2 linked regions of the Astyanax mexicanus genome follow. The protein of the gene in region 1 purifies or fractionates together with the protein of each later gene. This does not show direct contact. Links are inferred from orthologs where the notes say so. Each region holds a gene or a part of one and is shown on either strand. Other genes may lie near its edges. The genes, in order: rbm28 and rexo4.

The links.
Region 2: the proteins of rbm28 (region 1) and rexo4 purify together in Homo sapiens (affinity purification with mass spectrometry; 3 studies listed by BioGRID and IntAct, with this or other methods). This does not show direct contact. The link is inferred for Astyanax mexicanus from reciprocal best matches to the Homo sapiens genes RBM28 and REXO4.

What each region holds. Positions count from the first base shown.
Region 1 is NC_064416.1:15,735,796-15,743,084, forward strand, and holds the start of rbm28 (RNA-binding protein 28), read left to right. Parts: upstream 1-4,108; 5' UTR 4,109-4,370; coding exon 4,371-4,488; intron 4,489-5,965; coding exon 5,966-6,121; intron 6,122-6,222; coding exon 6,223-6,395; intron 6,396-7,217; coding exon 7,218-7,289. Other genes in the region: si:dkey-5i3.5 (transmembrane protein 53), read left to right, coding at 117-607, 1,521-1,882. UniProt on the Homo sapiens protein: Nucleolar component of the spliceosomal ribonucleoprotein complexes.
Region 2 is NC_064424.1:25,787,777-25,795,100, reverse strand, and holds the start of rexo4 (RNA exonuclease 4), read left to right. Parts: upstream 1-4,081; 5' UTR 4,082-4,375; coding exon 4,376-4,603; intron 4,604-5,820; coding exon 5,821-6,167; intron 6,168-7,324.

The sequences.
Region 1 (7,289 bases):
ATTTAGTTTCATTGTAGGCACATTTAATCAAACAGTATACAACATAGCTTCAGGAACTGATGTATACATTCCATTAATCTGAAACAGAACCTGCTAACCACTTTGTTTTTCTGCAGGTCCTCCACTGTCATGTCCTCCAGGAATGTAAGCTTCAATGGGGTAGCGAGACACACGATCAGGAAGGGCGTTACATTCTATGCAAATGATTCTGTGGTCAACCCTGTAGCTGCTGGCCCACCTGACCAGCCCAGACCTCTTCTGCTTCTTCTGCCATGGTTGGGCTCCAAGCCACATGCCCTGGCCAAGTACTGCGAGATCTACCTCAAAACCGGATTCGATGTCCTAGCTGTGGAGACAGAGGTGGGACGGTTCCTGTGGCCTCGCTGGGGGCTGGAGTACGGGGGCCAGCTCCTGGAGCTCCTGGAGAGTGAACGTTTCGCACAGCGCCCCCTGCTGGTTCACGCCTTTTCAATCGGAGGATACACTTTTGCCCAGATTCTTATTCATATTGCCAGAGATCCCCAGAGATATCAGGGCTTGACCAGCAGGATCAAAGGACAGATTTATGACAGTCTGGTTGTGGGTTCATTGGAGCGGATGGCTATTGGTAAGAAAAAAAAAATCTATTGCACCTTTGTCTTCTGTGCTCTGTAAACTGTGCTACAATCTTAGATCCCCTCATACATTTTCTTTTTCCTTTTCTCTGCTCATTGTCCACTTTTTCTGTGAGTGCTCCTTAGCTAGGGAAGCTATAGTTTGCTGTATGTTGTGGACATTAACAGTCTAGGATGCCCCTAGACAAATTTGGAAGAAGAAATGGCTACATAAAGTGTCTGTAAAGTACAGCAATCTCCAGCCATCTGGTGATTGATACATATTTCAATATATGAGTTACAATATTTTGCAATGCTCTAAACAAGATGATATATAGCTCTGAAAAAACGTAAGAGACCACTTCAGTTTCTGAATCAGTTTATCTGATTTTCTATTTATAGGTATATGTTTGAATAAAATAAACATTGTTTGTTTTATAAAAATATATTGTAATTTAGAGCACTTATTGGTAGAAAATGAGAAATGGCTGAGATGCGGCGCTTTCAGACCTCAAATAATGCAAAAAAAACAAGTTCATATTCATTACGTTTAAAATCAATATTTGGTGGAATAACCCTGATTTTTACTCTCAGTTTGTATGCATCTTGGCATGTTCTTCTTCACCAGTCTTACACACTGCTTTTGGATAACTTTATGCCACTCATGGTGCAAAAATACAAGCAGGTCAGCTTGGTTTGATGGCTTGTGATCACTTATCTTTCTCTTGATTATATTCCAGAGGTTTTCAGTTTGGTAAAATCAAAGAAACTCATACATTTTAAGTCTCTTATTTTTTTTCCAGAGCTGTATATCTTTTTTGTTTTTATCAAAGTGTAAACAGTGATGACAGCTCTGATTGAGCAGCCTGAATTTAACGCATCTTTAATTTAATCTCCGTGTATTCCTCTGTCTTCCTTGCATTCCAGGTGTGAGTCGGAACTTGTTTCCCCGCTGGGGGCCTGTGGTAAAGCATGTCAGCCTGCTTTATTTCTACATGTTCAAACGCCAGACTGTGGACTACTTCAACATGGGCATTGACGCATTCAAGAAAACTCCTGTTCCAGCTCCTGCACTTTTCTTCTACTGTAACAATGATGCACTGTGTGATCCTGAAGCTTTGGAGGAAATGTTGGAACAGTGGGATAAACTGGGTATTTCTGTTACTAGCAAAAAGTGGGTAGAGTCGATCCATGCAGGGCATCTGCGTGCCCATCCTCAGGAGTACATGTCCATCCTGAAAAACTTCCTCTACTCTCTCAACATGGTGCCACTCAAGGCTAAACTGTAAAACATACATACAGTTACCTTATATTCAAGGTGTTTGATGTTTAGAATTTTGTTGAAAACACAATAAGAATTAATTTTAATATTATTGATAAAGTTGTGTGCCTTGACACTTGTTGCCTAACATAATTAATCAATATGAGGCATATGAAACTGTTTGTCAGTTAAAGAGAGGTTGATTATAAAATATAAAAAACCCTGGTGTAACAGTATGCTCAACCGTTATAATACCTCTGTATAGTGTTGTTCCATGTACTGTATTCCACTGATGTAAAAAGTACATTTAGACTTTTATAGTATGTTTTTTATGGTTTATATGTTTTGACATTACTAATGCACATGTATAAGTCTCCTTTTAGGGTTAAATGGTCACTTACAATAAAGAAGAAACACTAAGACATTAATGTACTTAAAAAAAGCTAAAATAATGTGGTACATTTCTTTTTAATTGAATTTATAAGAACTGTATGAAGACCAATTAGTGGTTAAATGTATTGTAAATTAAAATAAATATTTACCATCTCATTAAATGAATTACATAAACTGTGGTGAGCAACAATATAAGTGTACATTAATAATTTACTGCATATAAATATATGCAATGCCTCCAAACAGGAAAAATGAATAATCAAGATTGGCATTTTTTTATTATTATATTAATTGGATGCCATTATGAAATTCAGTTTTCATAATGATGACGGATTTGTGTGGGTGTAAGTGTGTTTGTTAAGAGAGAGAAGTTCACTGTATGCAATATGATCTTAATCCGTCCTCTTGTAGATTATAAACTGGAATAGCCTGTTCCTAATATTAGGTGTCTGCAGAAACAGGGTTGCCAGGACCAGGAAAAATATTCAACCAAAAGAGAGGTGAAAATCAGTACAACCGTGTCTAATAATTAGTGTAAAATGTGAATTTGTTAATTAATTAATTATTTTCCATAATTGAAAGCACATTAAAGGCTCGGGATATTAAATACTTACACTGCAGTTCTAGAAATAGAACTACTCTAGAGTTTGTATTTTGAATGGCAGAAGCAGAAATGGAGGGAATGGCTAATTAATCAATTAATAGAAAGATTAATTGCCAAATTAGTCCACCTAACCACATAAATGATCATTAGTTATAGCGTAAGTTTTCACAATTTCACAAAACTGTTGATTCATTATGACCCCAGTTATCTTATTTTAAATTAGTCACTTAATTACTTGTTCTTTTTAACCCTGTTAACTTTACAGATTACTTTACTCAATATACTTTAGACAATTTGGATTCATGACTGGGTGCCTTCCTGCCTCAGAATCTAAACTTCCAGCATTCTAATGACTCTTAATATATGTACATTTCAGAGTGAAATAGACAATATTTACCAAGTTTTAAAGGAAAGATGCAGCAGATCCATCCCTGATTGTGGAAACTCTACACTAGACCTCAAGCAGCTTGGACTGTGTGTCTCTCCACTCTTCCTCCAGACTCTGGGTCCTTGATTTCCAAATGAAATGTAAAATTTACTGATGATCAGTGATGGTTTGGAGAGACATGTCATCTGCTGATGTTGGTCCACTGTGTCATATTAAGTCCAAAGTCTGTGCCATATTTTCCTGAAAAATCTTACAGCACTTCATGCTTCCCTCTGCTGACAACTTTTATGGTGATGCGGATTTCATTGTTTTTAGCAGGACTTGGCACATTGCCCACTCTGCCAAAAGTATCACTTGGTCTTATATAATATTCTAAGTTTAGGAGACGCTGATTTTTGAGTTATCATTGGCTGTAAGCCAATTGCCAGTGGTCAGCAATTAAGTTTGGCTGTGGGCCAGATATTTTCCAAGCCATTATGTGGCGGGCCACAAAAAAAATTGAAAATGAAGTGTAATGGGATGGAGTGCTACAGACCAGTTGCTCTCCAGCCCAGAGGGTTGTTGAACCTAATTGCAGAACAGTTGAATCCAAAGCAGGTAAACCCAAGAAGAAAAAATAAATAAATAAACGCAGAAGCATTTGATATATTTTTTATTATCATTCATTATAATTGAAACAACCTCACATAACAACCTCAAAATAAATCAACGCTTAAAATACGTTGCGTAGTACATCTATATAATAGATAAGGTTCACATTTTGAGCTGAAATAAAGTATTTTTTCAATTATATTTTCTTTTTTGAGATGTATTAGTATGAGCTCTGTAGACCTCCAGGCGTGTGGGGGCGCTGTTCCTCAGCAGCTCCACATTAAGATGTGGAGGTATCCGGTGTGGTTGGAGAGAAGCATGTCAGCCCTGTAAGAAAACGTGTGTTTACAGGTTTCAGGGCTGGAGAACTGAGCGGAGCTGCTTATTATAATAATAAGTGTAGTACAGCGAGGCGCTGGCCGGGTCTGGCCGCTTCAGCGGGCTTAACTGCGGGGAGCGGAGGAGTATATTATACAGAGTTTAGAGCTGCTGCTGCTGCTCTATGTGCTTTAGTAGCTCTATAGAGTAAATCTGATCAGAATGGCTTCACTCACTTTATTCGTGTCTAATTTACCCGCTTCAGCCAGCAGTGCTGGTCTGGAGGAGCTGTTCTCTGAGGTCGGGCCGGTGAAGCGCTGCTTCGTGGTTAAAGATAAAGGTAAGTTTATGAGCTGACGAGGAAAAGAGTCCTGATTTTCTAATGTGTTGTTTAGAGTATTGTGGTGATCTCAGTGAAATAGGGGCCCTCATCAAATATAACATTTATATTCTAGTGGATTCTGTGTTAATATAAAGAGACCCTGAGGTGACATCATGTAAAAATATAGGGAAAAAATAATAATACGTGGCTACGACATATTAACGAGTGGGAACGAAATAAAAGTCGTTGGAACAAAATCCAGGTTGTGGGAACGAGATCCTAATGTTTGGCTACGAGTTATTGGGGCGTGGGAACCAGATCCTAATGTATGTCGACTATTTATTAAGGCGTGAGATCGAGATCCTTATGCATGTCCACGATTTATTAGGCCATTAGATTGAGATCCTAATATGTGGCCATGAGTTATTAAAGCATGGGAACCAGCTTCTAATGCGTATCCACGATTTATTAAGGCGTGAGATCGAGATCCTAATGCATGTCCACGATTTATTAAGCCATTAGATCGAGATCCTAATATGTGGCCATGAATTATTAAAGCATGGGAACCAGCTTCCAAGTTGTGGGAACGAGATCCTAATGTTTGGCTATGAGTTATTGGGGCGTGGGCACCAGATCCTAATGTAAGTCGACTATTTATTAAGGCGTGAGATCGAGATCCTTATGCGTGTCCACGATTTATTAAGCCATTAGATCGAGATCCTGATATGTGGCCATGAATTATTAAAGCATGGGAACCAGCTTCCAAGTTGTGGGAACGAGATCCTAATGTTTGGCTATGAGTTATTGGGGCGTGGGCACCAGATCCTAATGTAAGTCGACTATTTATTAAGGCGTGAGATCGAGATCCTTATGCGTGTCCACGATTTATTAAGCCATTAGATCGAGATCCTGATATGTGGCCATGAACTATTAAAGCATGGGAACCAGCTCCTAATGTGTATCCACGATTTATTAAGGTCTGGGAATAAGATCCTCATGTGTGGCCACAACTTATTAAAGTGTGCGAATGATATCATTAAGTCGTGGTGGAAATAAGTTACTAAAGAGCCCCTAAACCATAAATTTTTCATTAACAGCTGTAATGTGTTTTTTTTTAAAGTACTGAAACATACCAGTCCTGCTTAAAAAAATTATAAACTTTTCTTAACCCTTAAAAAACACTTATTTTGGTAATTTAAAATAAGATAATTAAGGACTGGCCATAAAAGAAGTCCTGCACACTGTTTTCATTTGGATTTATTGGTTTAGCTGTTGTGCAATCATGAAAAAGATTACACTGGTCAACCAGCATGACCATGATGACCAAGTTTCTTGGCTGGTATGACCATGTGAAGATATGAAGATGCAGTAAAAGTATCTTTAGTGTACCAAAATGAGACTAACAAACACACACACAGCTGTCCCCTGTTCCCTGATAGAATGTGGTTTATTTAATTTGTGTTTAACCTGCTCTATTTGTGTTTAACCTGTTCAGGATCAGAGAAATGTCGTGGATTCGGCTATGTTACATACTCCATGGCAGAGGACGCCCAACGAGCTCAGAATGAAATGAAACAGTATGACGGACGCAAAATAACCGTCGTTCCGGCAAAGAAAAAGATTCTTAAGCAAAAACAAGGAAGCAAGAAAGGTATGCATTTTTGTGTATGAAAGTGTATTCTATTTTAGTTTCAGTGTTTATCTAAAGGCTGTTTTCTTATCTTTATTGTTTCTTTTAAAATATTTTTACAGCCCCACAAGAAACAGAAGGTTCCAAAGAGGCAGCAGAAACTGAACACTCTGAAGAGACATCAGAAACCAAATGTTCTGAAGAGGCATCAGAAAAAAAAAGTCCTCAGAAGTCTAAAGGGACCAGAAACAATTCGAAGAAAGCCAGGCTTATCATCAGAAATCTTAGTTTTAAAGTGAGTAATATTATATCAAGTATATAACAATTTATAACAATGTATTGTTAATGTCCAGACAGTCTTCTTTCATATGCTAGCCCTGCATTCACACTGGCAGGAGCTTACACTGTGTGTGGATTTGTACCGGTGTGGTCGCTTAGCACGGAGGCTAATCAAGCAAGCTACCTATTGAGCCATCAGCTACTTTTATTCAGGCTTCATTTTCCTCCAAATTGTCAACACATTGTTGATTACTTTTTGTTTACAGTCAACTCTGGTCTTTTTAATTGTTGTTACCTTCACATAAATACAGGAAAATACCAGCATTTATTTTTTAAGGGATAGACCCCTCTAGTATAAATATAATAAAATCATAGTTTACACATTGTTGCACTGTTTGATAGTGTTTTCAGTAAATTACAGATATTTTTCGTTAATGTATTTAGTAAGCAATTATTAATATCCTTTGAGAAGTGCGGAATATATTAGTTTTACAAACACATTTTTGAATACCGTATTTTATGGACAGGATTATAAGGCGTGGTAAAAAAAAAAATAAGATAAGATATAAGATATATAAAAAATATATATATAAGCCACTTAGGTGACTTAAGCAGCTTGTACCAAATAAAAAAATATCATGTTTGTCCTTCATTAAAATAGTTATTCATTAATTGGAATTGAGACAAAATGCTATATATGTTTTTCCCAGCACTAGTCCGGTAGGAATAGTTCAGTGGAATTAAGGAACATTGGTTTAGCATTATTTTGTGCTTGTTTTGTTTTACATATAATACTTTTTTTTTAAGTGTTATTTCTGTTTTCTGTCTCTTTCTTCAGTGCTCTGAGGAAGAGCTCAAAGAAACCTTCTCAAAGTTTGGAACTGTCCTGGAGGCTACAATCCCTCTCAAA
Region 2 (7,324 bases), on another chromosome or scaffold:
GACCTCTGTAGTCTTCTGTTGTATACCAATCTGCTGTAGGCTACTCATCTGTTTTAGACTAGACCACTTCAAATCTTTTTTACAGACCAGTCAGCTGTGGACCAGTCTGTTTTAGAGTAATCTGCCTTGAAGTTGCTCCACAGACCAGTCTACAGTAGATCAGTAGATTCTGTGGACTAATCTTCTTTTGTAGACCAGCCTTTTTAGCTCAGTCTGCAATTCTTCAGTAATCTGTTGTCTTGTTTTACATACTAGCTCACTTAAAAGCTGCTCTGTAGACCAGGCTATTGTTGATCAGTCTTTTATTCGGGCCTACTCTATTATAGATAGGTTTATTTAAATCTTTGTTCTGTACACCAGTTTGTGCCTTCTACAGACCGGTCTTTTATTGTGTAGACCACTCTGTTAAAATTGGTTGTATTGGCTGTAGACAAGTTGTTGGTTGTGGACAAGTCTGCTGTACAGGAGTCATATGTTGTTGAATACTTCTTTAGAACACCTTTTATTTTAGAATATACTGAGCTCCTTATGTAACAAGTCTGTTATTCACCAGTTAGTTTTCTGTTGCCTTTTATTATTGAATACACTTCTCAAAAAAATCTAGTCTACAATAGCCTAGACATGGTCTACTTTGATGCCACTCTAATGCAACATCTCTATGCAGTCACTTCTCTTCACAGCCTCTATAGTAGGGCTGATCACTCTTATCCATAATGGGATGCAGGTACCTCAGCCTTATTCTGGGCTACCTTCCCCCTCCATAAAACTGCACGACAGATGATCCTGATATCATCATACTCCACATTTAACTAACTAATATGGCGTGTCCAACACCTTCACGAGTCCCTGTATTAATGCAAACAGTGTTTTAACTGTTGTTCTTTATCTAATTACTCCAGCAGATGTGATTGAGTGATTTGCAAGTACAATACTGGGTACAGTAAGAGCTTGGGGCATACTGATTAGAGACTTGGCAAGGTGTCCTAGTCCTGAAGAGTTATTGTTTCGTGTCCCAACCATGAGAAATTTGCCAGGTTCACACGGTTCTGGGTCAGAGCTCAGCACAGAGTAGTTCAGGGTCATCACCCTCGTGCCTTAGAGTGAAAACTCAAGCCTCACTCTATTTTATTCAAACTGCTGATGTTTGGAAAGAGAGAGAATAATGAAAGGAGCATGAAATGATGAAATGAAATGAGCTTAAGAGGCTTTCCAGTCCCTGTGCTCTAAAGTACAGAACCTGGAGAACTGTCAGTCATTCCACTTGAATATAGCATGCCTACTCCAATCCCAAATACCCTCACCCCACCCACCACTGCCACCCCTGTGTATTTAGCAGTTTAAACTTATTTTTAAAAAATATTTTATTTTTCTTATTTATTTCTTTGGTGTTTTTCTTTTGCTTTCTATTTTTACATGAATGCCTGTTGAATTTCATGTTAAATATTTAATAATTTGCATCACAAAATGACCCATTTTGTCAAAGTTTTAACTTTGTAACTCCAAATATGACTTGTTTTTAAAATATTGAGGTAGTATAAAAAATATAATTTATATTCTGAAAATGACAAAAATGGTAGAGAAAGTATTTTTATTTACCATGTGTATTTAAAATGTAAGGTAACAAGTTGACATTTTGAGATAATCAGTCATATTCTGACCTGGCAGAAACATGTTACTTTATTTTTTTTTAACCCTTTCTGTGTAGGGGTGTGCATATGTGTGTTTACATGCAGTGGTTTAGCAGTTGTTAAAAATATTGATAATAGCTGCTCTGAGATTTTTCTTTTCAAATATATACATTAATAAAATATACATGCTCTTTGAACAGTGATGAATGTGAGCTTTTGGGTGAAGAAGGCTGAGAGAAAGGACCTATTCTTTTACTTTTATTTTTGTATTTTTTTCTGATGTTGAAGCTGAATATTGAAATGCTTATTGTATTTTGTATGTTTTTGTGTGTTTGAGGGAGAGAGAGTAGTCTGATGATTTATAATAGAATGACATGGAATTAATTTGCTGTAAAGAAGGATTGCTGTATGTGTAAACGTGTATAAAATAAATTGTATTAAAAAAACTAAATGCCTGTATCTGCAGTAGCTTTGGCTTTAACATATAGTAACAACATTGAGAATACTATGAAAGTTATGTTTCTGCAATCATTCATTTTATTAGCTACTTTAATTCATTCATAATTAAGTCATTCTTAGCACTGCGGGTACATTGGCATGGAGGTGGTGCTGCTAGAGTTTTTAAACACTGTGTTGAAAAGGACAAACTTATCTGGATATTTCTAGTTTGTGGGTTATTTTCCTAAGTCCAACATTGAATGTGAGGTGTTTAAAAACTTCTGCAGCACTGCTGTCTGATCCACTTGTACTACAACACCACACACTATCACCACATCAGTCCCACTGCCATGCTAAGGATCTAAAGATTAGCCACAATGATCCATAGTGATTCCTACTCTGCGGCATGCCCAGGCAGTTGGAACTGCTGTGAGTTCTTTTAGAAGCCCATTATTAGAATACCAAAATTCCCTCATTTGTTTTTCTGTATATTTGATCTTATTGTAACAATGACTGAGGAGGTCAATCTCAACACTCTTTCTTGTTACTTATAATATTTCTTAGATCTTATTTATTTTTAAAATACAAGTTTTGGGAAAATTACTAAAATGTGTTCTCATGTTATTAGCATAGCCACAATTTAGCTATTTTCATGTTTTTGCTAAAAACTCAGTCACTCATAACATAAAGAGTAACAGGACTAACAGGGGTCAGGGGTGAGCTCCAGTAACAAACCTGAAATTGATCAAATTTATTATCATGCAATTTATTAAAGAAATTGATAAATAATGAACCAAACAGAATAGGAAAAAGGTTTTTACATTAACTAATATTTATATGAATAAATCAATAAACCAGGGAACTCTACTCACTCCTGTTACTGGAACTCTCTCCTGTTACTGGCACTTAGTCCCGTTACCGGCACCCAGTCCTGTTACTGGCACTTACTCCTGTTACTGTCACTCAGTCCTGTTAATCTTTATGTTATGGGTAACAGGACTAAGTTTTTAGCCTAGAATTAGCAAAAACATGAAACATGGCCATGCTAATAGCAAACGTGATTTTCCCAAAATTTGTATAAAATAATAATAATAAGATTTAAGAATTAATTTAGGAACAAGTGTCATAAGTAAGTCATAGTTACAATAAGATCAAATATACAGAAAATCAAATGAGGGAACTTAATTTTGGTCTTCTCATGGTCTTCAGAGGAACCAGCTATTGTCACTTCCTGTTGTAGATGTGACTTGTAGAATGTTCCAGATTTTTCAGATGGTAATATAAAACCCAGGGACACAACTAAAATGTGCATATTATCTTAAGGATTAATTATGAAAAAATTAAAGCATACATGGGATTTGGAATCACACAACTATGTATAAAAATTTTATCTGAAGAATTTTAATAATTATATTTCATGGTAAAGTTTATAGTTTGAGAGTGGGGACAGCGTTCTAAGTAGTTTTTTTTTTTATTAATGTTTTAATTACAAATCTTACTTTTGCAACCAGGTCAAGGTACAAAAAAACTATGCTAAATAATAAAATTTATTAAAAAATTGTTTTGTGTGTACATTTATACATGTAATTTCTTGGGGACAGAAATGGCACAGATCCTGCGGAATATGCCTCGTAGTTAATAAGGAACGACAACAATGTATTTATAAGAAACATTATTAAGATGAAGAGGGTACAATTGTTTAACTTTTTAATTAAATAACACATGGAGAAAATAATGTTTAAAAAGTGAAACTGTGACATCTAGTGCTAGACCTCGGGTAGAGCAGTAACTATTATGTAAACTATTATGGGAATTACAGTGAAAATCATCTAATCCCCTAATAAAACACAAACCTTTAGATACTTAAGATTATTACAGATATTTAAGAATATTCCAATACGACGTTAATGTGTTTATAGATCGTACAGTCCGATTAAACCTCGAGTACTAATTTAATTCAGTTTATTTCCAGAATTCTCCACTGGGAACTCAGAGAGCCGCGCTCAGGACCCTTTACCCGCCGGGCCGCTTTAGATGTTACACACAACTGAAACACGCATGGTGGCTGCGTGGATCAGAACCGATCTGTAAGAGCGATTTAAACCTTTCTGTTAGACTGATTTTCTTAATTAACGTGTTTATTTAAAAAAAAAAGATTTTTTTATTAGACACCGATTACCCCGCCAGTCTCCTTCATCGGGCTGGTTTCTGTAGTAAAGGAGCAGAACTCCAGAGTTGTGTGTGGAGTTGTGTGAAGTTGATATGGAGGAATAAGCAGCGTCTTTAAGCTTCACAGTTTAGTCGATTTGATGACTTTAAAAGAACATCTAACGATGTCTAAAGGGAAGCACAAAGGACCCAAGTCTGATGTTCGTGCTGCAACAGAGAAGCAAGCTAAAGGTCCGGATAAAAAAGGGGAGAAAAAGAAGAAGTTTTTCTTTCAGCGCGTGGACAAAAAATCTAAAGAGAAGAAAATACAGATCCTGCCACCTAAAGAGGCGCAGCAGTTTTCATCTAACTGGAAAAGCCTCCTGGAGGTGAGCTACTAAATGTTCTTCCTTGCAAAATCCATTCCTCGTTCTGTTACAATTAATGTCAATGTTCAAAACAGATTTTGAATCCTTTATATCATTCATATACAGTTCCAGTCAAAAGGTTGGACACACCTCTTCTCATTGAATGTGTTTTCTTTCTTTTAATGATCTCTTCATTGTAAATATAATATTGAAGATTATATTTAAGCTATTCAGAAACACATGTAGAATGATAATTGTAAACAAAAAGTGTTAAACAAACCAGAATATGTTTTGTACTTTAGATTCTTCTAAGTGGCTAGCTGGTCAGCTGGAATAGTTTTCTCAGTGTTTTGTGAAGGCTAAACACTTTTTTATTATTGTTTACTGTAATTCCATGTGTCCCTTAATTGTTTTTAATGTCTTTAATATTAATCTACAAAGTCCAAATTTAATTAAATAAAAAACATTGAGTGAGAAGGTGTGTCCAGGTGTGTTTGACTGGTACTGTATTTAAATTTTTTTTAACAGTTTTTTTTGTAAGAATCTGCAGGCTTAACTTTTAAGAGAATTCTGTCTCCTTATACTTGGCTAGGTTGATATTTGTCCCTTCCTTTTGTGTGTCTTGTTGTTAATATACACAGTACACAATAAATACAACAGACGAGACAATGTAACAGACCGGACAGTGCAGTACCAATACGGTGCAATGAATGTTCTGGGGAAGATAAGGTGCAGAGATATGTAACATATAGAAAATACATGATCACAGCAGTTACTGAGGTAGAAAGTTTATAGTTCTATAGAAGGAAGCGGGAAAGACTACTGATAAAGACATTTCAGTCTATTTTTGTGTGTGTGGAGAGATTGGTGGTTTAAGTACATGATGTATCAGTAAGCCCAAAAAATACACTCGATTAACAAAGGCATGTCTAAAGTGGAATGTGAACACTAGATTTAGACTGGCAACTGTAAACACAAGTTTAATGTCCCAAAAGTGATTGAAATCAAAGGTGAGCAAAAATGAATAATATATCAATATTGTATTTATCATTCTGGGCCTTGTTTTAAGTATGTGTATGTTTGCAGCTTGCACATTACAGTCTCCTTGTAGGTCTGTCTAAAATGTAGCCTAATATTGGATTTATATGGAGTTTCTGGATCCCCACCAGAGAGAATATGTTGCTGCATTTTTATATTTTTTGACTGACATTTTTTATTGTGCCTTCTTTATAATGCAGGTTCTGAACTCTAAACAGGGTGCAGACGGTAAGAAGGACTCTTCACAAAAACAAGTACAATCTAAAGCACCGAAGCCTCAGTCAGCAGTAAAGAAAGACTTCCACAAAGCTCAGCGAAAACCAGATAAACACATAAGCAAAACAGGACACGGACCAAACAAGGACCTTAAGACACCACAGAGTGTGAAAACTGAGAAGCCAGAGACGAGCAGTGTCCAGCAGACCAGCAAAAGTCCTTCAGCACCCAAACAGCATAAAGCTGAGAAGAGGAAAGCAAAGGACTGTGAAGGAGGACCTGAGAACAACAAAAAGAAGAAAGTGGAAGAGGTGGAAAAACAACCAACAGAGTATGTGTTCATGTTTTTTTATCACAATCTATAGAATCTGAAAAAACATCAGACTTGTCATTCTTAATAATGGATGCTATGATATCTACTTTGTCTTCATTTCAGTTGATAAAAGACAATTCCAATATCGATATGATCAGTTTAGATGCCTTCACCTCTGCTTTACATCATTACGCACTGATGTAGTCAGGATATGAAAGCATATTTTTTTTGCTCTTTCTGCTCATCCTTATTTCAATAAACAGCAGTACATCACCAGTCGGTGACAGATACTAAAGTAGCGTAAATTAGATCATATCACCGTTTTTTGAAACATGTTTCCTTGAGATATATATTGATACAATATCTAGTATATAATAAATAGTATATTGTTGTATACTGTATAATATACAGTAGGAGTGTAACGGTACAGAAAATGTACGATTTGGTTCTAATCTCGATATAAACCCCATGGTTCGGTATGTTTTCTGTACGGTTGGTGGAAAAAATTAAGAGGCTGGGCATTCTGTATAGCCTCTCCTTTATTAACTTCATAATAACAATTAATCTTCATTATCATGTTTTATTTTTTTGGATGGTATGTTGTAACGGAGCTTAAGCCCTTTTATTAAATGCTTGAAACCAGGGTTCTCATGAGAGGCTTCATCTTTTAGATCTTGTTGGAACAAACGCATCAGTCTTCAGTTATTTTTAAAAAATCTCAGCATTGGGTCACATAAAAATGAATTAAAATCACGATTCATTATTTTTTATGCTGGAATAGTGTAGTGTGGTCTGGCAGACTAGATCTTTTTGTTCTGTATTATAATATGTGAGAGAGAGAAAGAGAGTGTGTACGAGTGAATTATCTGCATTTCTATGTGTGCTTTCTACTTGTGTGCTCCAGCCTGCACTGTTTCCAGTCAGAGCAAAACTTCTCAGGACAGGCTATGGGCTAAGTCAGTATTGAGTTGCTAATAGCAACAGTGCTACAGTTACTCTGTCCGGGTGCAACACTTCATTAATTACGTATTATGTTCATTGGTTCCACAAGTCTCCTATAGACTGCCTGTGCCATGTGACTCCCGTACTGTCATGGTTCGTAAAGAATACATCTACCATTGCACCCCTGATATACAGTCTATACAATAATAGCCTTTACAATGTATTTAGAATTA